2 linked regions of the Arabidopsis thaliana genome follow. Each later gene encodes a partner of the first gene's protein in a complex. Each region holds a gene or a part of one and is shown in the gene's direction. Other genes may lie near its edges. The genes, in order: SMC3 and AT3G57060.

What was found.
Region 2: SMC3 (region 1) and AT3G57060 share a complex: the UniProt entries of both Arabidopsis thaliana proteins name them as parts of the condensin complex.

What each region holds. Positions count from the first base shown.
Region 1 is NC_003076.8:19,696,357-19,706,482, forward strand, and holds the start of SMC3 (structural maintenance of chromosome 3), read left to right. Parts: upstream 1-5,371; 5' UTR 5,372-5,551; coding exon 5,552-5,695; intron 5,696-5,950; coding exon 5,951-6,040; intron 6,041-6,116; coding exon 6,117-6,218; intron 6,219-6,302; coding exon 6,303-6,479; intron 6,480-6,553; coding exon 6,554-6,684; intron 6,685-6,783; coding exon 6,784-6,862; intron 6,863-6,935; coding exon 6,936-7,093; intron 7,094-7,177; coding exon 7,178-7,253; intron 7,254-7,377; coding exon 7,378-7,506; intron 7,507-7,575; coding exon 7,576-7,720; intron 7,721-7,914; coding exon 7,915-8,045; intron 8,046-8,299; coding exon 8,300-8,452; intron 8,453-8,529; coding exon 8,530-8,719; intron 8,720-8,933; coding exon 8,934-9,067; intron 9,068-9,397; coding exon 9,398-9,556; intron 9,557-9,739; coding exon 9,740-10,048; intron 10,049-10,126. Other genes in the region: FKBP15-2 (FK506- and rapamycin-binding protein 15 kD-2), read right to left, coding at 20-124, 212-302, 409-471, 737-786, 882-948; AT5G48590 (phosphoserine aminotransferase, putative (DUF760)), read left to right, coding at 2,120-2,463, 2,725-3,415; AT5G48595 (Defensin-like (DEFL) family protein), read left to right, coding at 4,284-4,332, 4,419-4,666. UniProt on the Arabidopsis thaliana protein: Central component of the condensin complex, a complex required for conversion of interphase chromatin into mitotic-like condense chromosomes.
Region 2 is NC_003074.8:21,111,436-21,124,607, reverse strand, and holds AT3G57060 (binding protein), read left to right. Parts: upstream 1-3,494; 5' UTR 3,495-3,556; coding exon 3,557-3,692; intron 3,693-4,000; coding exon 4,001-4,323; intron 4,324-4,409; coding exon 4,410-4,570; intron 4,571-4,659; coding exon 4,660-5,839; intron 5,840-5,952; coding exon 5,953-6,144; intron 6,145-6,336; coding exon 6,337-6,990; intron 6,991-7,088; coding exon 7,089-7,265; intron 7,266-7,389; coding exon 7,390-7,457; intron 7,458-7,547; coding exon 7,548-7,770; intron 7,771-7,854; coding exon 7,855-7,954; intron 7,955-8,046; coding exon 8,047-8,162; intron 8,163-8,246; coding exon 8,247-8,304; intron 8,305-8,391; coding exon 8,392-8,543; intron 8,544-8,624; coding exon 8,625-8,829; intron 8,830-8,942; coding exon 8,943-9,347; intron 9,348-9,432; coding exon 9,433-9,530; 3' UTR 9,531-9,741; downstream 9,742-13,172. Other genes in the region: AT3G57070 (Glutaredoxin family protein), read right to left, coding at 1-434; AT3G57062 (uncharacterized protein), read right to left, coding at 3,019-3,165; CBL (cystathionine beta-lyase), read left to right, coding at 10,087-10,149, 10,278-10,446, 10,549-10,664, 10,745-10,815, 10,916-11,007, 11,113-11,200, 11,289-11,400, 11,506-11,602 and 5 more. UniProt on the Arabidopsis thaliana protein: Essential protein. Regulatory subunit of the condensin complex, a complex required for conversion of interphase chromatin into mitotic-like condense chromosomes.

The sequences.
Region 1 (10,126 bases):
TGATGAAGCGTATTTATACCGGGGATAGTAGGTGGAGAGCCTTGTTCTCCATATCCAAGTTTAGCAGGTATCTTTAACTTCCTCTTCTCACCTACACACGCTCCTAGCAAACCTTGATCCCAACCTGCAACAAAACCGAAAATTACCATTGAAGGAATTAAGAAAATGTTAAAAGAAAAGAGATACTCAAAAGCCAAAAGCAAGTCACTACCTTTGATAACCTGACCACTTCCTAATTTAAACTCAAACGGATCACCCCTTTCAAAACTCGAATCGAATACAGTTCCATCAGTAAGTTTCCCCTGCCACATAACAACACTAAGTTACACAACAACAAAAACAACAATAAACATTTCTTCATGACAATAATGAATCCCAATTTTGTTATAAGATCTAGCAAAAACTTACCCTATAGTGCACCTTGATCGTATCACCTTTGTGAGCCTGAACTTCACATGTTTTTGGCTTAAACTGCAAAAAAAAGAAACTCTTTATTATCTCTGAATCCAATCAAGAACCCTAAGTATCTTACAAATTTGTTGACAAGATCACACTTGTCAAATCCAAAAGACTCCAACTAAACCAAATGGTCAAAAGACAAACCAAAACAGAACACAGCACAATCAAAACCAGATCCAAATTCACATTCCAGAAAACAACAATGAATAAACCAATATTATAGCTAGAAACAGTATACGAGATCGTTCATTTCCTGATCGGAAAATATAAAAATTACCTTGACACCGATCTGCAATTCCGACACATCTCCGGTCTTCTTGGCAAAACCTATAAACAGATCCAATTACAAGGAATTAGATTGGAAACAAAGAGATCATGATTTTAGCACATTCAATAATGAGAAAGAAAGATGAATGGAGAACCTTGGAGTGAAATGAGAGAGAAGAAGATCAAAAAGAGAGAGTAACGGAGACTCATCTTGCTCGCCATAATCGCTTCTCAGTTCTCACTCTTCAGTTTTTTCCTTTTCTTCAGTGTATAGAGGTAATCTTATTGGGCCTAGGTAGGCCTGTGGGGTTCTGCATTTTTGTAAAAGCCCATCTTTTATCTCTACAAGCAAAGTTGAAAATTTCGGTTTAAGAGTTTTATCATTTCACTACGTTAGAGTCTTATATTTCTACTAGCAAAGTTGAAAATTTCGGTAAGAGTTTTCATTTCATTTCATTTCTTTCTAAATCTACTCAAGAGTGTTCACTATGGTGGTTACACCGGTATGCAAAGAGTTATTTAACGAGCAAGAAGACAACTACATTATCTCTTAATTATATTAGAATGTTTCGCATGCATCTAATTGTAGTTTAAGTTGCTGTAATGTTTTACAAATAAAAGTTTTATTTTATAATTTCACGGTTTAATATCTTTGTTTAATATAGAAGAGGAAGCAAACAAAGATGAGAAGCTCACACAATCTCATTTGAAGATTTATGTCACTATTTAAAGTTATAGAAAAAAACAGTTAATCTCTATTATTATTATCATATTCTATTCTAATTTTTTTTCTAGTATGTCACATATTATTTAAAAGATGAGATGAGTGTAATTTTTTTTTTTTTTTAATAATAATATAGACTGCGGTACAAATATCTAGTAACAAAAATATTTATGGTTTTTTAACCATTGTGATTTTATTTAGAATATCTTATAATATTATGGGACAAATGAAGAATCTTTTAATTTTTAACTAACTAAGCTAAAATTTTAATTTATATCTCAGAAAATGATTCTTCATATTTTTGAATTCGAAAATTCTAGCTTGATGAAAAACCAAAAGCCATTTCGACTAAATTCAAAGAAAATTACAACCAATAAGACTTTCATAGTTTAATGTTACAATTAATATCCAAAGAAATTTATTAAAATGAAAAAGTTTTTAAGGTGATCCTTGAAGAGTTTTTATATTACCCAAATAAACGTCGCTTTACTTTACTAGTCAACTTACAAAATCAGCATTAACCACACAAAGCAATAAACAAAAAAGATTTTTTACCATTTGCTTACCTTATCCAAATCTGCTCCCACTGACTCTTCCTTCAATCTTCTCCTCTGTAATCTCTTCACAATCCCAAAAAATCTCACAATCGTTTTTTGCTTATCTCTTTCAATGGACACCTCTCTCTCCCACCACGGATCTCTCCCGTTTCCCCCATCGCGCCGCAATTTCGTTAAACAAAACCGCGGCGGCGATTGCGTTTTTCTCCCCTCGCGTCGTAAGTTCCGATACGATTCGTTGGTGGTGGTTTCCGCTGCGTCTTCGGGACAGAGCATCGACGCGCCTCTAGTTCCACGGTCGCCTCAGGGAAGGTTTCTAAGTTCCGTCTTGGTGAAAAAACGGCAGCTCTTTCATTTCGCCGTCGCTGATTTGCTTAAACAGCTCGCTGATGATAAGGAAGCTTCCTTATCTCGTATGTTCCTTAGTTATGGTTCCGATGAAGCTTCCCTCCACAGGTTCCTTTTAACCTCCACTTTTCTTAATCACAATCGCAAGTGTTTGTTGTCACTGTAGAATCGCCGAGTTGTAGAAGAAAACAAAATCTGTAAAATTGCAGAATCCAGAAATGTTTGAATCTTTGGTTGAATCCAGAAATTATGCTAATCAATGGTTTATTAGTGTTGGTTATCACTATGGAATGGTTGTTTCTGTTTTATGTTCTATGATCTGGCTTTTATATGGAGACTGATTAACGTATTTGAATCGATGTTTTGCAGAAGGATAGCTCAACTTAAGGAGAGTGATTGCCAAATTGCAATTGAAGACATAATGTACATGTTGATCTTGTACAAATTCTCAGAGATAAGAGTGCCTCTTGTTCCAAAGCTTCCCAGTTGCATTTACAACGGAAGACTCGAGATCTCGCCTTCGAAAGACTGGGAACTTGAGTCAATCCATAGCTTTGACGTTCTTGAACTCATCAAAGAACATAGTAACGCAGTCATCAGTTTAAGAGTGAATTCGAGTTTGACTGACGATTGTGCGACAACGGAGATAGATAAGAATCGTCTCAGTAAAGTATACACAGCTTCGGTCTTATATGGATACTTTTTAAAATCTGCTTCTCTTAGACACCAACTCGAATGCTCATTATCACAACACCATGGAAGTTTCACTAAGCAACTGAGGCATTACATTTCTGAGTTCGATCCCAAGATATTGCGGAGATGCGCAAAACCAAGGTCACATGAAGCAAAAAGCCTGATAGAAAAGCAGAGTTTAGCTCTTTTTGGTCCTGAGGAAAGCAGCAAAGAGAGCATTGTGACATCGTTTTCTAGCCTGAAGAGGTTGCTTCTTGAGGCTGTGGCGTTTGGTACGTTTCTATGGGACACAGAGGAGTATGTAGATGGCGCGTTTAAGCTCAAGGAGAATGAGAATGCAGAGGAAGAAACAAATAGCAGTGTTTGAAGTATGTATGAACCAGTTTGCTAGAAGAAAACTTGAATATCTTTTTTGGTGGACATTGCATATAATATATAGATTAAATCAGGGTCAATGGCTATATGAAATTATTTTTGTCTATAGTTTGAGTAATCATATGTATAGTGTATAATGGATGATTTAATAGAGAGATTGGTTTTGTCATTTTATATATCCATCAATATATTGCAACTTCAGAGGAAAAGAAAATAGTTAAAAACCACATTTATTCTAGGTGTCTCTCATATTTGACCAGTTTCTCATCTCTCATCAATTTTCACTTGTGGACGCATGTTAGTTAATTGAAAATAAAAAGACAAAATTTATATGTAAATGCAGTATACTGTATACTGAATATAGTAATTATGTTTTTAGTTACTACTCCTTATGTTTCACAAAAAGTATCATTTTACAATTTTTAACACAAATTAAAAAAACATCTAAAAATTTCTTTTACCTATTGTAATACACTTTTTATTTTTAATTAATAATTGAAAAAACAGAAATAAAACAGATATTTGATTTTAAAAACGGCATCGAAAACACAAAACAACAATCTTTGTTAAACAAAACAAAAAAATCTTAAAACGATATTTTTTGTGAAACAGATGAAGTATTTTAAATTAAAAATTGTAAATTAAAGTTTATAGTTTTTTTTACTATCATTTATAAGAAAATATGTTTGATAAAACATTAACTACTATGTAACATAAGTAAAACCGTACCCTACAAAAAAAAAACATAAGTAAAAGCGCATATAAAGATGCTACTATCTTAACTTTAAAACATCACAACCAAAACGATCAGCAAATACGTTCCATATTTTTTTGTTAAAATATTAAAATTTTTAAAGAAAATGAAGACAATTTTTGTCTTTTTAACTCTTGCAGTTTTGGTTTCATCATGTAAGTTCTCATTCTTGTTCAATTAAAAATATATATATATATATATATATATATATATATTATAGTTTAAATTTTAATTTAATAAGTTTTCAAAAAACTATTTTTACGTGCATCAAATATTATGATAAAATCTATTTCAGAAGGAAAATCTCAGTTTTCCGGCCCTGCATTAAGCCCTAATATTGATCCAGCAGACGAACATATTGGACACTCTCCCGAAGACATGAAAATTATTTTTTGCCAACAATGTGCATTTCATTGTATTGAGAAAAAGAAGAATATAGCTCATTGTGAAAATTCTATTTGTCGTTGTACATTGGAAGACATTTTGTAAGACATTATATTTTTAGAATAATATAAGAAATAATCATTGTGACTGATTTTCTACCTTTACAGCCTCCTTTCAATTTTTAATAAAAATTAATAATATAGAATTGAAAATACATTGAGTTATACATTTTTACATATATTTAAACGACTATATACACTGAATCTTTATAACAAAGAAAAAAAAATCAAAATTGTAATTTTTGTTTGTATCTTCTATATGTATTAAGTGTTACATGTGTTATTTATAAAATGTTTGTGAAGGTTATCACATAAAATTTACTCATCATCTCATGGTTTGCTTTTTTAGAAGAGAATTTAATTTTAGAAATAGAATATAAAATCATAAGTCATATATTTCTTTTTTTGAATATAAACAATCCGAAAAAATACCTAGAAACTATCTTGTTTGTTTTGATTATAAACAATTATATATATATATATATATATATTTATTTAGTCTAAATTTTACGATGTTTACTAATTGCATAACAACCGTTAAATTAGAGGATTGAATCTATCAAAAATTTAAAGACAAAATATTATAATAAAAAGTTTAATTAAATGAGGTATTTTTTATCAATAAAAAACAAAGTAACAATTAAACGTCCAATTAAAAATGAAATATTTTTTTGGTTTTTTCCTACGTCGGTAACTAATAACGTCACAAAGTTGATGGTATTTGAAAGAATTAGCGGCAATTTATTCCCCCCATAAATTTTCATTTGTGACCTAAAATTAACTTTCCCTTTCTCTCTCCGTGCCTCTTCCCATTCTCTTTCAATCTTGTTTGAATCTCCCTCGATTTTCATTTCTCTTTCAATTTCAAAATTCGCACCTCCTCCTCCAAAGTTGTTGAAATCAGATTTTGTTGACCGGAGAGTAGTTATTTATGGAGGAAGATGAGCCAATGGGCGGCGGCGAGTCTGAGCCTGAGCAGAGGAAATCTGGAACTCCGAGACTTTACATAAAAGAGCTTGTCATGAGAAACTTCAAATCATATGCTGGTGAACAACGCGTCGGTCCTTTCCACAAGGTTAGGATTTTACGCTGATTAGATTTGGGTTTTCTCGAATTTGAGCTTCTATGTCAATTACAGTATAGTTTTCGAATTTCTCGCTTTTGAATTGCCCTTGCGAATTTCAGTTTTTTTTTCAATTTGAAGATGAATTTGAGCATATTTTTCGGATTTCTGTTTTTGGCTAGTTTGAATTGCTCTTGCGAATTACAAGATTTTCATTTGAATCTATTGATTCGGAAAATTAGATTTACTGAATTGTTGAAAATTCAGAGTTTTTCTGCGGTGGTTGGACCTAATGGGAGTGGAAAGAGCAATGTGATAGATGCAATGCTCTTTGTATTTGGGAAACGAGCCAAGCAGGTACTTGATTTACTCTTGTGTTTTCTTTTAGTCACTGAACTTTGTTTGAGTAACTCTTATGTTTATTTGGTGTTAGATGCGGCTGAACAAAGTTTCAGAGCTAATTCACAACTCAACTAATCACCAGAACTTGGATAGTGCTGGAGTTTCTGTACAGTTTGAAGAGATTATCGATTTGGTAAAACTTGTTGTCTGCTTACCTATTATTAGACTTTGGTTAAGCTTTCTAGTAATGTGAATTGTTTATTTTTAACTAACTCAGGAAAATGGATTGTACGAAACTGTTCCTGGAAGCGATTTCATGATTACTCGGGTTGCATTCCGAGATAATTCTTCCAAGTATTATATCAATGAGAGGTCGAGCAATTTCACTGAAGTTACCAAAAAACTCAAGGGGAAAGGAGTAGATCTTGACAACAACCGTTTCTTGATTCTTCAGGTTCTCACTTTACAGAAACAGCTTGTTGAATTAACTTGTTTCCCCCTCTAATATTGTTTCTTGAACGTTGACAGGGGGAGGTAGAACAAATATCACTCATGAAGCCGAAAGCACAAGGTCCCCATGATGAAGGTTTTCTTGAATACCTCGAGGATATAATTGGAACGAATAAATATGTGGAGAAGATAGATGAATTAAATAAGCAGTGAGTAATCTATGCATTTGTACTGTTTCTTTTAGACGTAAGTGGTTCCTGATTTGTTGGATGCTATTAATATAACTGCAACTGCCTCTGAAATTTAAGGCTTGAAACCCTCAATGAAAGCCGGTCTGGAGTTGTGCAAATGGTGAAATTAGCGGAGAAAGAAAGAGACAACTTAGAGGTTTGTTGACGTTTTTCCTTCTTGTATGTGACCCGGTTTTGTTGTATATGTTGCTGATGTGCTTTTGGAACAGGGTTTGAAGGATGAGGCAGAGACTTACATGCTGAAAGAGTTATCACATCTTAAATGGCAAGAAAAGGCTACAAAAATGGCATATGAAGATACTGTAGCGAAAATTACTGAACAGAGAGACAGCTTGCAGAATTTGGAAAATAGTCTAAAAGATGAGCGGTAAGCACTACTAATTTTTCTTTAAAATATCAAAGAAATTATATAAACTCATTTGTAACAAATATCGTAACATTTCTGTTACAGAGTGAAAATGGATGAGAGTAATGAAGAGTTAAAAAAATTTGAGTCTGTGCATGAAAAACATAAGAAGAGACAAGAGGTATGTCTGAAATCAATAAGATGTGTCTGCTCTCATGCTTATTGCCGACGAGGCTAAATTCATTTTTCTCTCTCCTAACTTTCAACAAATGGTGAATCACCTTATCTTCCTTTGCAATGATTAGGTTCTTGATAATGAACTTAGAGCCTGTAAGGAGAAATTCAAAGAGTTTGAAAGGCAGGACGTAAAGCATAGGGAGGACTTGAAGCATGTGAAGCAAAAAATCAAGAAACTCGAGGATAAACTTGAGAAGGTTAATAGTTTTGGAAGGATGGTTGACTTTTTTATGGCGTGCATATACCTTACCTGTGTTCTTATGCAGGATTCATCCAAAATCGGTGATATGACAAAGGAGTCTGAGGACTCAAGCAATCTAATACCGAAACTTCAGGAAAACATACCAAAGCTTCAGAAGGTCTTGCTAGATGAGGAGAAGAAATTGGAGGAAATCAAAGCGATAGCTAAAGGTGTGTTATGCTTTAGGATATTAGTCCCCAAATAATGATGTCCTTGTTACCCTGGCAGCTTCTTTAACAACATCACAGTGAAAAGTACTTGGAATTGGCAACTTCTTAAACATGCTAGTACCCATCTATAACGATTAGCTTCTTGCTCAAGAGTAAGCTTGTTCAGTTAATAATTTCTGTCAATTTTGTTACAGTTGAAACTGAAGGTTACCGGTCTGAGCTTACAAAAATTCGTGCTGAATTAGAACCTTGGGAAAAAGATCTAATTGTGCACAGGGGAAAGCTTGATGTTGCATCATCCGAAAGTGAACTCTTGAGCAAGAAGGTACATCTCATATAGTTATAACGATTTGCTTGGAGTCAAGAACTTTTGCTTGTCAAAATAACTTGGCTCGTCTTCAAAAGAATTTCTAGAGAGGTTTTTAATTAGCTTATCCCACTGCTTCTTTAAAGAATTCGTTTGCCATAGTCAAATCTTTATATGCTTCCTGGAGCTGCTTTCGCGCTGAATAATCCAAAATACTGTTGGACGACTAATTTTTTTGTTTCTGTTTGAACATTACCTCTTTGTTATTCTAGCATGAAGCTGCTCTGAAAGCCTTCACAGATGCTCAGAAACAGCTCTCTGATATATCAACGAGAAAAAAAGAAAAAGCTGCAGCAACTACCTCTTGGAAAGCTGATATAAAGAAGAAGAAACAGGAAGCAATCGAAGCTCGGAAAGTGGAAGAGGTACTTTTATTAAGATATGACTGTAATCTGTGCAGCTTAGATGGTGAAACTGAGAGTATGCATCTTAACTTCTGCAGGAATCACTTAAAGAACAAGAAACACTCGTTCCACAAGAACAGGCAGCCAGAGAAAAAGTTGCTGAGCTCAAATCAGCAATGAATTCTGAGAAGAGTCAGAATGAGGTTTTGAAGGCAGTTTTAAGAGCGAAGGAGAACAATCAAATTGAAGGAATATATGGAAGGATGGGGGACTTAGGTGCCATTGATGGTGAGTATATTGGTCTATTGTCTACTATAACATTGCTCTGACCTTGAATATTGCAGACTGTTATTTTCTCCTTGTAGTATGAGGTGTGAAATTTTGATTGACAATATTTTCAATGATAAATGAATTTTAGAAGTAAATCCCCAGTTGCTTGTCTAAATGATTTTAAAAGAAATACAGCGAAACTAACAATCACTGACATGGCTGTCCTATGCAGCAAAATACGATGTCGCCATATCAACTGCGTGCGCCGGCCTTGATTACATTGTTGTTGAAACAACTTCTTCAGCACAAGCATGTGTTGAGCTGCTGCGGAAGGGAAATCTTGGCTTTGCAACATTTATGATATTGGTATTGCATACCACTTTCTGTTTATATGCTTTGAATTACCTGCCTGGCCATTTTATTAAAAATGCCAACTTAAACAGAAGAATCGTTATACAGGGATCCTCAAAATTGTGATTCCTGAGTTGGTCTTAGTAAACTATTATATCTAATTAGGAAGTTAGGAGCGTGTTATGGTGGATTTTGATTCAGCAAATGAAATGCAATAGGCAGCGGTCTTAGTAAATCTTCAAGGGGACTGAATCTGAAGCTTCACATTCATTCGCCAAGTAGGTTCTAGTAATTGCTCGTGCAAATAAAGAGTGAATAACCCTTCAACAATATTCTTTTTTGCAGGAAAAACAAACAGATCATATACATAAACTGAAGGAGAAAGTGAAAACACCAGAGGATGTACCACGCCTCTTTGATCTTGTCAGAGTTAAGGATGAAAGGATGAAACTTGCATTCTATGCAGCCTTGGGAAACACTGTTGTGGCAAAGGATCTTGATCAGGTATATTATGTTTGCTCATCAAGACTGACTCGGCTACATAATTTATTTACTGCCATTAGTAAATTATGAATTGAGCTAAGCTCGGCTAATCTAGTGAAACCCAAGTGGGTAATACCTCCTAAAATACAAAGTTTCTTTGGACTCAGTGCTGAGCCTAATAGATACAATTTTCTTGCTTATTAGGCAACACGTATTGCATATGGTGGGAACAGAGAATTTCGAAGAGTCGTGGCTCTTGATGGCGCTCTCTTTGAAAAATCTGGTACCATGAGTGGAGGGGGAGGCAAGGCACGTGGTGGAAGAATGGGAACCTCTATTCGAGCCACTGGTGTGTCTGGTGAAGCTGTTGCTAATGCAGAAAATGAGCTCTCCAAAATTGTTGACATGTTAAACAACATCCGTGAAAAGGTTGGAAATGCTGTGAGACAGTATCGAGCTGCAGAAAACGAAGTCTCTGGCCTAGAGATGGAACTGGCGAAAAGCCAAAGAGAGGTACTGTCTTCCGTGAATTTATGAGTATAACCCTCCCGTTTGAGATATGTAATCAAGTTGCCCTAAATGTAATCAATT
Region 2 (13,172 bases), on another chromosome or scaffold:
TTCGGGTCGGGTTTAGAGCAAAAATCCGAATTTAGACGCTTACCCGGTTTGGGAATTTCGAATTCGAATTCATCGTCCAAGCCATCCATAAGCTCCCAAGTGTTTATGACTGAATCAGGAGAGACCGGATCTGGTGTGTTCTTCCCGGAGATTGAGATACGAGGCAGCGTTTGTTGGTCGGAAGAGGAGTTTTTGGATCCATCGAGATCAAGGAGGAGAAGAGAACCGTACGATGTAGATGTAAGGGAAACAAGGTGATGAGAGTCGCCTTTTCTCGCCGGAGGATGGTGAACCAACGGCGTCGGAAACGAAAAAGCTCTCTGCACCGCCGGTGAAGATGAATCGGAGCTGAATTTGGTCGGCGGTGGAGAAAACGCAGATGAGGAAGAAGCAGAAGAAACGGAAGAAGCGGTCTTTGAAGCAGAAGAACCCATTACGAAATCGAATTTAAAAACACTGACTTTAATGAATAATAGTTTTTAGTTTCTTTGCTCTTTCTGGTTTCTTCTGAGATTGTTTGGTTATCTCTGGGAATGATAGAGAACAGAGAGAGAAAAGAGAAAGGTGGAGAATAGCTGTCTAGGGCAGTTGAAGGTGGAAGATGGTGAAATTTAATGGCAGAAGAAAGAAACGATGTTGATGTTGATTTTCGGACACAACAACAGTTCTCGATTTGATTTTGATTGTGTAACCAAAGCTTATGTATAGAAGAAGAACCAAATTCCAAGAACTTTCCTTCACTGTCTATAAATTGAGCCAAACGTTTTTAAAATAATGAAGAAAAATAAAATATTAAAGAAAAATGTCATTATCTTCATAACTGCAATCTTTAATTCTTTATGATATTTTTATTAGAACTAAACGAAGATTGGAGGAGAAAAAAGGTTGATCAATCAAACAAATATTGACATGTCAGTTCCAAAAGATTTTATAATTAATTTTGGGGGTTCACAATATACATCTACATCTAAATTTTAGTTGAATTTATTTTTGCAATGCTTTATTTCTAAATTGCTTTTTTAATTTACGTCTTTGAAAATGTTTATTCCAAAATTTATCTTTTGAAATTTGCATTCAAACAAAATGTTTTGATATGACTCTATCTAGATATAAATATTAAGAATATATAAATTAAAAATATTAATTTTTATATCTACATATATTAAAATTTAATTTTAAAGTAAAAACATATAGATAATATTAAAGGTTTGAATGATAAATTTCAAGATAGGACCTAGACAGAGTATTCACGTGAATAATTTAAATCCTTGACTTTACGGAAAGTTTCTATATCTGACCTGTTATTAACTTTTCTTCTACCATAATTTAATATCATCATCTCATTGAACTCTTCCTTATTCATTTTTATTCATAATCAAACATTTTATTCATTTTGATTGATCTACACATACCTTTTTCTATTTCCTAAGATGATGTTTTGCAGTTAGCTGGTACGATTTAGTTGACTAGTCTTTGTAATGAAAGCTGTATATTCTAATCCCCACGAGAGAAAGTATGGTGCTTTGCTGTTACATTTTTTGTTTTTAATGAATTTGCTGTTACATTTTTGCATTATGTTAATGTATTTGAATCACGTATTATTATGTTATACGGTTTAGAAAAAGAACAGCTAATTGGACCACATCTTAATTAAAAATAACACTAATTGGACTACACATAAACAACATGGGAAGAAGTTGAATTGCACAAGGCAAAAACTCCTTGAAGATTCTTTATTATTTTTGGTACTTTGTTCTTTGTCTTTTACTCTTTTCAATAAGGGAAGAGGAAAGATTCGAAATTCAGAACCTAACACTACAAAGACTAAATATGATATAAGGAAGATATGCATAAGACAAAAAGCTAATATAAGAGGAAAGCTCAATAGTTTTAGAGGTGGATCTTGACAGATAAAAATGTTTGGTTCTTCATTGAATATTTGAATGTAATAGATTTCTTTGACGCCAATGAGCTAAATATATACAAAGTAAATTCAAAGGGAAAAATCATTTTCTCTTGTGTGATCTTCCAAGCAGAAGAGGCTAAAAAAGATTTCTTGAAATTGATAGAAACTCAATTGTTTCAGCAACATTTTTTCACAAGTATGAGGTCACATATGTTCTGGAATTCTACAAACTATATACTATACACATATACTGCTGCTCTGCTCTCTCTCTACCTCTCTCTGTCTGTCAAAATGTTTCATAGTTAAGAACCTTGCCAGCGTACCAACAGAAGATATGATAGAACCTTACTTGTGTACTCTGCGCATTTACTGCTGTAAAAGCCCTTCCTGAATTCAGAAAGGCCTGAATGCAAAACAATGACTAGTAAGCTAAGGAGAAAAACTAAAACAAAAGGTAATCTTCAGGATTATAAAACATGCTTCCAGGAATGTTTTGGTACTGAAGCTAAGAAGGTATTATCACCTATGAACTGTTTTCCAGACAATCACTTAAGCATATGGATCATATCATCAATGCTGATGTACTTATGTAGAGAGGAGATAAATTATCTGAGCATGTGAATGATCCTGAGGATACTTGTATCGACACAAAAACCAGCTACTATGAGAGATAAACTCAAGCAGCTGAGCAAAAGGAAACGAGCATTATATGCATCCCAGAGTTGCTGATCAGAACAAATACAACCAAATTGGAGTTGAGAAATCTCGATTTTTGTTCATGGGCCATTAACAAGCATCATTAACATAACAACATCCATGCGAATCCATAAGATATGTATAGTTTCATATACGAAGCCGAACTTTAGTTACACATACACACACTGAGTGACTGAGACATATATCAATCACTTCCACCAAAAATTGTTCCCTTTTCGACCAAAATGATCTATCTTTATCCTCTATAAACTCAAACTATTATCAATTTCAGAGTTTGTAGGGAAATTTGAAGCGACTCTAATCTAAAACAACAGAGCAAAACAAAAAAAAACGTAAAATTTGGGGAAGAGAAGAACATATACGCACAGAAGGAGAGCTAAGGATCTCGAATTCAATCATCCGACGTGGAAAGGACCAATATCTCCGTTTCTCAGAGAACCAGCGATCTCATCAGCGATAGCCACGCAAGTGAAAACCCAACCACTCAGAGAAAACCAAACCATTCTCATCAGATACATCGCCATGCCCAGCGGCATCGCCATCTCAAAGCTTTTCTGCTTCTTTCTCTCTCTTTCGTCAGATCAAATGATTGGCCGGCGAAGCCATTAGAGTGGCCAAAAGCTTGGGGAAAAAAAAATCAAAGATGATTCGGTAGGTTCAAGGATCTTCCAACCATTTAGATTCGGCCACGTCTTCGTCGTATTTATTCACCAGCCGACGGAGACTCATAATTAAATTCGAGGGCCCACATGAAGATAAAATAATTAGGATCCGACCCGGTTTTGTATCCGGAACCCGACCCGATAGGATGATCCATGGATTCCCGCTCCGTTGCCTTTTTCGATTTCATTTTGAAATTGAAATTCCCCAAAAGGTAGATTCTTCTTTCTCTCTCTCTCCTCTGAGCAACGTCTCTCTCTCTCTCTAGAAAAAATGGCTCCTCCCTTTGTATTCCCTCAAATTCTACGAGCCCTAGAAGAAGATCCGGAGGATAATCACCGTTTGTTCGCTCAGAATCCCGTCGATGTAACCTCTCTTCGCCCTTCCGATCTGGAAGAATTCGTCAAAGGTAAATTGTCTTTGTCTCTCCACTGTATGAGCGTATCTGAGATGCAATTGCGAGAGGGTTTAGATTTGCTTTGCAATCCCAATTTGGGAGGAAAATTGCATTATGTATGTTGATAGTGTCCTTAGTCACCTGAGTCGTCAGGTAGGTTTAGTGGGAATTCGTGTCTACAAGCGAAGCTGAACAATATGAAATTGATTAAATTTAAGTCGAGAGAAATTTCATTTAGTGCGTTTCTGGAGTCAAATTTCTTCTATGACTCTTGTGATTGATATGTGAGGCATTTTGTTTACTTTCGTCTCGTGGAACAGGTGTATCCTTTGACCTTTCTGATAGAGAACTCTTTTGTGTCGAGGATCAAGATGTATTTGATCGTGTCTACTCTTTGGTCAGGAGCTTCTTTAGTCTTCCTCCATCTTGCAAGTGTAATCTTGTAGAAAGCCTTCGGTCCAATCTAAGCGTTCTTCTTCCCAATGTCGATTCGATATCCCGGTCTGTCCAAGATCAGGAGGATGATGTTCCAATCATTGATAGGATCACATCACATCGCAATGCCTTGAAGATATACACTTTCTTTCTCCTCACTGTTGTTATGAATGAGGAATCACACATCAGCTCAGTCGAGACTACAAAGGTGTTCTCTCTTTTTCCAGCTGATAATACAGAATAAAATTCATCTCTTGTTGTCGAATTTACGGTAGTGATGTTGTGGATGAACAGGTTGCAGCACGAGGGAGGAAAAAGCAAATCATCCAGTCATGGAACTGGGAACCTCAGAGGGGTAGGATGCTCAATTTGATCGCAAATTCTCTTGAAATCAACCTATCCTTGCTCTTTGGATCATCAGACCTAGACGAAAACTACCTGTCTTTCATTGTCAAGTAATTTCCGTGACCTAATGAATCTTGTTTCTTTCATAGTCCATGCTATAGATACATTCTCACAACATTTTCATATCATTTCCTTGTAGAAACTCGTTCACTCTTTTTGAAAATGCCACAATCTTAAAAGATGCCGAGACAAAAGATGCACTGTGCCGAATCATCGGAGCATCTGCTACAAAATACCACTACATTGTGCAGTCATGTGCCTCAATCATGCACTTGATACACAAGTATGATTTTGCTGTTGTACACATTGCTGATGCAGTTGCTAGAGCTGAAAGCAAGTATTCAGATGGTACGTTGGCAGTGACAATCATTAGAGATATTGGGAGGACTGACCCAAAGGCCTACGTTAAAGATACTGCTGGGGCTGATAATGTGGGACGTTTCCTGGTCGAGCTTGCTGATCGTTTGCCAAAATTAATGTCGACAAATGTTGGAGTTCTGGTCCCTCATTTTGGTGGTGAATCATACAAGATAAGAAACGCACTAGTTGGTGTTCTTGGGAAATTAGTTGCAAAAGCATTTAATGATGTCGAGGGAGATATGAGTTCCAAGTCCCTTCGTCTGCGAACTAAGCAAGCTATGTTGGAAATTTTGCTCGAACGCTGTAGAGATGTTTCAGCCTATACAAGGAGCCGTGTTCTTCAAGTGTGGGCTGAACTCTGTGAAGAGCATTCTGTTTCAATTGGCCTATGGAATGAAGTTGCATCACTATCTGCTGGAAGACTGGAAGATAAGAGTGCAATTGTTAGAAAATCCGCATTGAATTTACTGATCATGATGTTGCAACATAACCCCTTTGGTCCACAGCTGCGGATAGCTTCATTTGAAGCAACCCTGGAGCAGTATAAAAGAAAACTGAACGAACTTGAACCTACTGAGCATGCATCAAAAGAGTCAACTTCAGATGGTGAATCCTGTAATGGAGATGGTGAAATCGATGACTTGCATCTTGAAACTACAACTAAGATTCATCAAGATAGTCTATCTGATAGCTGTCAGCCAGAGAATGGAGAAGAAATCAGTGAGAAGGATGTTTCTGTTCCAGATATTGGTAACGTTGAGCAAACCAAGGCTTTGATTGCTTCCCTAGAGGCTGGATTGAGGTTCTCGAAGTGCATGTCAGCCAGTATGCCAATCCTCGTTCAATTAATGGCTTCATCTTCTGCCACTGATGTTGAGAATGCTATTCTTTTGCTGATGAGGTGTAAGCAGTTCCAAATTGACGGTGCAGAAGCTTGTCTCCGTAAAATTCTGCCTCTGGTATGGTCGCTTATCATGTATCAAACTCATAAGAATACATTCTTCTGACATTTTTCAGTTAGCATCCTCTTAATACATTGTGCTAAAAACCTTGTTTATTGTTGTCTTTGCAGGCCTTTTCTCAGGATAAGTCTATCTATGAGGCAGTAGAGAATGCCTTCATCTCAATCTACATAAGGAAAAATCCAGTTGACACGGCGAAACAGCTGTTGAACCTTGCCATAGATTCGAATATAGGAGATCAGGCAGCACTAGAGTTTATTGTTAATGCTTTAGTGTCAAAAGGTGAAATATCTAGCAGCACGGTAGGTTCCTTCTGTGACTCCAGCGTATGAGTATGCTATGAATTATGGTCACTTGATACGTGTAGTCTGCTTATGCACAGTCAAGAACAACTAAAAATAATGAGCGTTTGATTATTGATTAAATTTCTCGAGCGAAAAGGATTTTCACCTGCTAGAGGCTAATAAGTGCTTCTATCATTTTTCTGTTTGTAGACATCAGCTCTATGGGACTTCTTTTGCTTTAACATCAATGGGACAACTGCTGAGCAAAGTCGTGGGGCTCTATCTATCCTTTGCATGGCTGCAAAGTCGTCCCCTAGGATTCTTGGATCACACATACAGGATATTATTGATATTGGGTTTGGCCGTTGGGCAAAAGTGGAACCTCTACTTGCCAGAACTGCATGTACTGTTATTCAGCGGTTCTCCGAGGAAGATAGGAAAAAGTTATTGCTCAGCAGTGGCAGCCGATTGTTTGGTATTCTTGAAAGCTTGATCACTGGGAACTGGCTTCCAGAAAATATATATTATGCAACTGCTGATAAAGCCATAAGTGCCATATACATGATCCACCCAACTCCAGAAACATTGGCTTCTACTATTATTAAAAAGTCCCTGAGCACTGTGTTTGACGTAGTTGAACAAGAGGAAGCACAGACTGATACCGAAAATAATAAAGTTGATATTTTGACTCCAGTTCAAGTGGCTAAACTCAGTAGATTTTTGTTCGCTGTCAGTCACATTGCCATGAACCAGTTGGTGTATATAGAATCCTGTATCCAGAAGATCCGGAGACAGAAGACTAAAAAGGACAAACCGGCTGCTGAAAGTCAGAACACAGAAGAAAACCTTGAGGCCACCCAAGAGGTACAGACCAATTTCGTAGAGCGCAGCTGGTGGCACAAATTTTACAACCCTAAAGGGTTATTTTTGCTGAATAATGCAAAGTTTTCTTTGTTTTGTAGAACAATGGCATAAATGCTGAGCTAGGACTTGCTGCCTCTGATGATGCACTGCTTGATACACTCGCTGAAAGAGCAGAGAGGGAAATTGTTTCTGGGGGTTCTGTTGAGAAGAATCTGATTGGGGAGTGTGCAACTTTTCTCTCTAAGCTTTGCAGAAATTTTTCTCTGCTGCAAAAGGTAGTTAGTTTTCTATTCATTCATTCTGTTTCATGGCGTGTGATGAAGTTAAAAGCCTTCTTTTGCTCTCACATTTATTTTGGATATACATGATAAAATGAAACTTGTCTTTTCATTCGTACAGCATCCTGAACTACAAGCTTCCGCAATGCTTGCATTATGCAGGTTTATGATTATTGATGCAAGTTTCTGGTGAGATTAAATCATTATCATATAGTCTATTTATCCTTTACAAAACTGAATTTATAGTTAAATTGATGCATTAAACTCAATGTATGCCAGCGAATCCAATCTTCAGCTTCTCTTCACAGTTGTTGAAAATGCACCGTCTGAAGTTGTACGATCGAATTGCACCCTTTCCCTTGGAGACTTGGCTGTTCGTTTTCCAAATCTTTTAGAACCTTGGACAGAAAATATGTATGCCAGGTTACGGGATGCTTCAGTTTCTGTCAGGAAAAATGCTGTCCTGGTCCTCTCACATCTTATATTGAATGATATGATGAAGGTTGGACTCCTTACCTCTCTCCTTGCTCTCTTTAAATATCTGCAATTATAGTTGGAGGTTTCATTTTGTGAATCCTGATTTCAGGTGAAAGGTTATATATATGAAATGGCTATATGTATAGAAGATGATGTGGAGAGGATCTCTAGTCTCGCAAAACTATTTTTCCATGAACTGTCTAAGAAAGGTCAGTTGCAATAGCTGCTTTACATGACATAGCAACTTCCACCTTTGAATCAAATTTAACACTTAAGTTTATTTTCTGCCAAACAAATCCAGGATCGAATCCCATATACAATCTACTTCCTGATATACTTGGGCAGTTATCCAACCGGAATTTAGAGAGGGAGTCATTCTGTAATGTCATGCAATTCTTGATCGGCTCCATCAAAAAGGTATACAGCTTTTCAATATTGAAGTTAGTATGACCTGTATTTATTCTTATCTAATCACTCATCTGCATCCTCATCAATCTCCAGGACAAACAGATGGAGGCTCTAGTTGAGAAGCTTTGCAATAGGTTTAGCGGAGTCACAGGTATGCTTGTATTGATGATATATCCTTACACCTGTTTTGGGTTTAATAAGAAGTATATCCCTTTGACATCTACACCTAAACTTGCAGATGGAAAACAGTGGGAATACATTTCGTATTCTCTTTCGCTGCTGACATTCACAGAAAAGGGAATCAAAAAGCTTATTGAGTCATTCAAGTCTTACGAGCACGCTTTAGCAGAGGATTTGGTGACCGAGAACTTTAGAAGCATAATCAATAAGGTCTGGTTTCTCTGGTTTTCGTCACCCTAGTCATTTTTAATGCTATATGTTAGTTTGACATCTGGTTGTGAATCTGAACAGGGAAAGAAGTTTGCGAAGCCAGAACTGAAAGCGTGTATCGAAGAGTTTGAAGAGAAGATCAACAAGTTCCACATGGAGAAGAAAGAACAAGAAGAAACCGCAAGAAATGCCGAGGTTCATAGAGAGAAAACCAAGACCATGGAATCCCTTGCTGTCCTCAGCAAAGTGAAAGAAGAACCTGTAGAAGAATATGATGAAGGTGAAGGTTAGTAATTTTTTGACTCTTGGCTAAAGCAAAGTTCACTGTACCAGACTTACGATAGTCAAATGCCAGTTAACGGCAAGCTTTTCAAAATGGACTGTTTTTTGTATTCTCAGGTGTTTCAGATAGTGAAATTGTGGATCCATCAATGGAAGAATCAGGCGATAATTTAGTTGAAACTGAGTCAGAGGAAGAGCCATCTGACTCGGAGGAAGAGCCAGATTCTGCACAATGTGGTACGGCCATTCCTCGTTATTTAAACCAAAAGACTAGTGGCGATAATTTGATTGAAACTGAGCCCGAGGAAGAGCAATCTGACTCGGAGCCAGATTCTGCACAATGTGGTACGACCAATCCTCGTTCCTTAAACCGAAAGACTAGTGGCGATAATTTGATTGAAACTGAGTCCGAGGAAGAGCAATCTGACTCAGAGGAAGAGCCATCTGACTCGGAGGAAGAGCCAGATTCTGCACAATGTGGTACGACCAATCCTCGTTCCTTAAACCAAAAGACTAGTGGCGGTATGTGAAAACTTCAATATGTATTTCAAAAATCTCACACAACTTAAGCTACATTTTAGAAATTGTTATATACCGTTAAGTAAAGTTGTGAGGTTTTCAGGGGAAGAAGGCGAATCAGAAAGCAAGAGTACAGAGTCATCGAGCAGCATCAGGAGAAACCTGAGGTCAGGAAGTAGAAGTTAAAGAACCATTGTGTAGATGCAGAGAGAGAGCGAATGTCTGTTCAAGTTGCTCAACATCTCGAGAGCTATCTTATAATTTACGTCTGTTTTGGTCACCGCTTTTGTTTCTCCCTATTATGCTTAGATATTGAAGAATCGACAATATTTATGTCTAATGTCCTAGCCGGTTTAGTTATGACAATTTGTAGCCAAAATATATAAGATCTGAATTAGTTTTGTATCAAATTTCCTTTTTCTTGTCAGTTTCACTGACGAATATATTAGTGGCCTCATGGGTACTTAAGAGTTAAGACTAAGAGTAGGTGTACACCTACTTTCCTCCACGTGTTATAACCAGACCAGATTTATTTCGGTTTTGTCTTATCGTATCTAAATAAACCGAAAGAAACCAAAACCGAGACTTAAAGCCGAGAGACCTTCGGTTTCTCTTCAGTCGTCTCTACTCTCACTTGAGCACGAGAACTGTCTCCGTCGCCGTTATTATCTCGTCGGCTAATATCTCAGACGAGAAATCGACGCCGGAGAAAAAGCAATTTAGTTCTCTTTCATCTACCAAAATGACATCTTCTCTGTCACTTCACTCCTCCTTCGTACCTTCCTTCGCTGATCTCTCCGACCGAGTAAGCTTTTTATTTTAATATAATTTATCGACCTCAGATAAAGTTAATCCCTTTTCTTTTGCTTTTGGTCTGGCTCTACCAATTTAAGTGATATCTAATCATTTTCGTCTCTGGGTGTTTCTCTGAAGGGTTTGATCAGTAAGAACTCTCCGACCAGTGTTTCCATTTCCAAGGTTCCAACTTGGGAGAAGAAGCAGATCTCAAATCGGAACTCTTTCAAGCTGAATTGCGTGATGGAGAAAAGTGTCGATGGTCAAACTCATTCTACCGTTAACAATACCACTGATAGCTTAAATAGTTCGTTAAGCTTAAATAACTTCTTTTTATTGGATCATATTGATGATAATCATAAAGTTAGCGTCTTTTTTATTGATTGATGGTGTTTCAATGTTTTTGCAGCTATGAATATCAAAGAAGAAGCTAGCGTCTCTACATTATTGGTGAACTTGGATAATAAATTTGATCCCTTTGATGCAATGAGCACTCCGCTTTACCAAACTGCTACTTTTAAGCAGGTATTCAGCCATAAAGCGAACAACTTCGTTTACTACGAGAAGATTTTGTCACTTGATACTAGTTTCTTTGCTTATTGTAGCCTTCTGCTATTGAAAATGGACCTTATGATTATACAAGAAGTGGCAATCCTACACGGGATGCATTGGAAAGGTAATTGTTTCTTAGCATCTTCTCGATTCCTAGGTTATTTAGCTATATTTGTATGTGTGTTTGTTCAACATTACTTATAGAAGTTGTATTCGTTTGTTAGCCTCCTTGCGAAGCTTGACAAGGCAGATAGAGCATTTTGCTTTACTAGCGGAATGGCTGCTCTTAGTGCTGTTACACATCTTATCAAAAATGGTAATTTCCGATACTGACTTCTCCTGGATTGTAATGTCTTTCAGTGTATTAGATCGGTAGCATAGACTTGGTTTCATTGTAGTACATTTGATTTTGTTTCTATAGGCGAAGAAATTGTTGCTGGAGATGATGTATATGGTGGCTCTGACAGATTACTATCCCAAGTTGTTCCAAGATCTGGCGTTGTGGTAAAGTTAGTATTGCTACCTTTGATTCTGAATTATATAACTAGTTATTCTTACAACTAAGATAACTTAATGATACCATTAAAAATCTTGTAGACGAGTAAACACAACTAAGTTAGACGAGGTTGCTGCTGCAATTGGTCCCCAAACAAAGCTTGTGTGGCTTGAGTCTCCAACAAACCCAAGACAACAAATTTCTGATATACGAGTAAATACTCTGTTTCTACAAAGTTTGGAGCCAGATACCACATGGCCGAAATCGACTTATTCTGCTGTAATGTTTAATTGGTTTGATGGTTTTCTGTCTTTGTAGAAAATATCTGAGATGGCTCATGCTCAAGGTGCTCTTGTGTTGGTGGACAACAGTATTATGTCACCAGTGCTCTCTCGGCCATTAGAACTTGGAGCTGGTGTGTAAAACAACTCAGACTTGCTTTCTATTGGCTAAAATTTTCGTTTTTCTGTTCTCAAATTTGCTTCTTAATACTCATATTTCAACTTGTCTGGCTTTTTAGACATCGTGATGCACTCGGCTACTAAGTTTATAGCCGGACACAGTGACGTGATGGCAGGTGTGCTTGCTGTAAAAGGCGAAAAGTATGTTGCCTCTACTCTTTTCTATCTGAGACATTTCTTTGAAATATCTGCTTTTCTTATAATAGTGTTAAACTTTCCAGATTGGCAAAGGAGGTGTATTTCCTCCAAAACTCAGAAGGTTCTGGATTAGCTCCTTTCGACTGTTGGCTTTGCCTTCGAGGAATCAAGACAATGGCTTTACGGATAGAAAAGCAACAGGTCTTGACTTGAACCCCCTAATTACCTTGAAATGTTGTTCTCTTTTCTTTTCTTTTATTGGTTGGTTTCATTACTTACAATAGATGGCAAAAATCTTCAGGAAAACGCACGGAAAATTGCAATGTACTTGTCTTCTCATCCAAGAGTAAAGAAAGTGTACTATGCTGGTCTACCAGATCATCCTGGTCACCATCTCCACTTCTCTCAGGTACTAAAAAGCATAAACTGATCTACGAAAAATAAGAAGAAAATAGATTAAGTTCTCTATCTAAGATATAACTGTTTTCATATATGCAGGCGAAGGGTGCAGGATCAGTTTTTAGCTTTATAACTGGATCAGTTGCGCTTTCAAAGCATCTCGTAGAAACCACCAAATACTTCAGCATAGCTGTCAGTTTTGGTGAGGCTCAAAGAGTACTTATATTGTGTTTCTTCTGGAGAAGCTTTAATAAGCTTTGGGATTATTTTGGATTTTGATCTCTTCCACTTTTTCTCTTTGACAACAGGGAGTGTTAAGTCACTGATAAGCATGCCATGCTTCATGTCACATGCAAGCATACCTGCAGAAGTTCGTGAGGCCAGAGGTTTGACGGAAGATCTTGTCCGTATATCTGCAGGAATTGAAGATGTTGATGATTTGATATCTGATCTTGACATTGCCTTCAAAACCTTCCCTCTCTAGTTTTGGTTTGTTCTTGTCTCAGCTTTTGTAGTTTCATAGGTTCTTGAAATAAGGATCTATGTAACAAACCATAAAACATAATTTGGTGTTTGAAAACACATCAAGCAATAAATTCATTATTGTTAGATTTGTTATGTTACTTGTTTGGGGTTAAATTCTGTATTATCGGCTTCAAAGCCAACAACATAAGTAGTACGGATCTTTCTTCAAAGTGAAATACAACTCTTATCAAGATTCTTGATCTGTGGAGCAGGGAGAGGACACAGTGAGCAACTTGTCCTGAGGTTAGGTAAGAAACAAGAACATGGAACAAACCATGACACATCAGCACCTGAATTTACCAGATTTATACCTTTTTGTTCGCTAGGACAGGTAGGTATACATGATAAAGTAACATTGTGAATTGAATTGAAAACAACAGTTGGCAAATAGAGTGACATCTACAGATCCTTCATACCATTTTCAGATAGTCAAGTTGGAGTGTCTTTAAAGCAAAAGTAAAG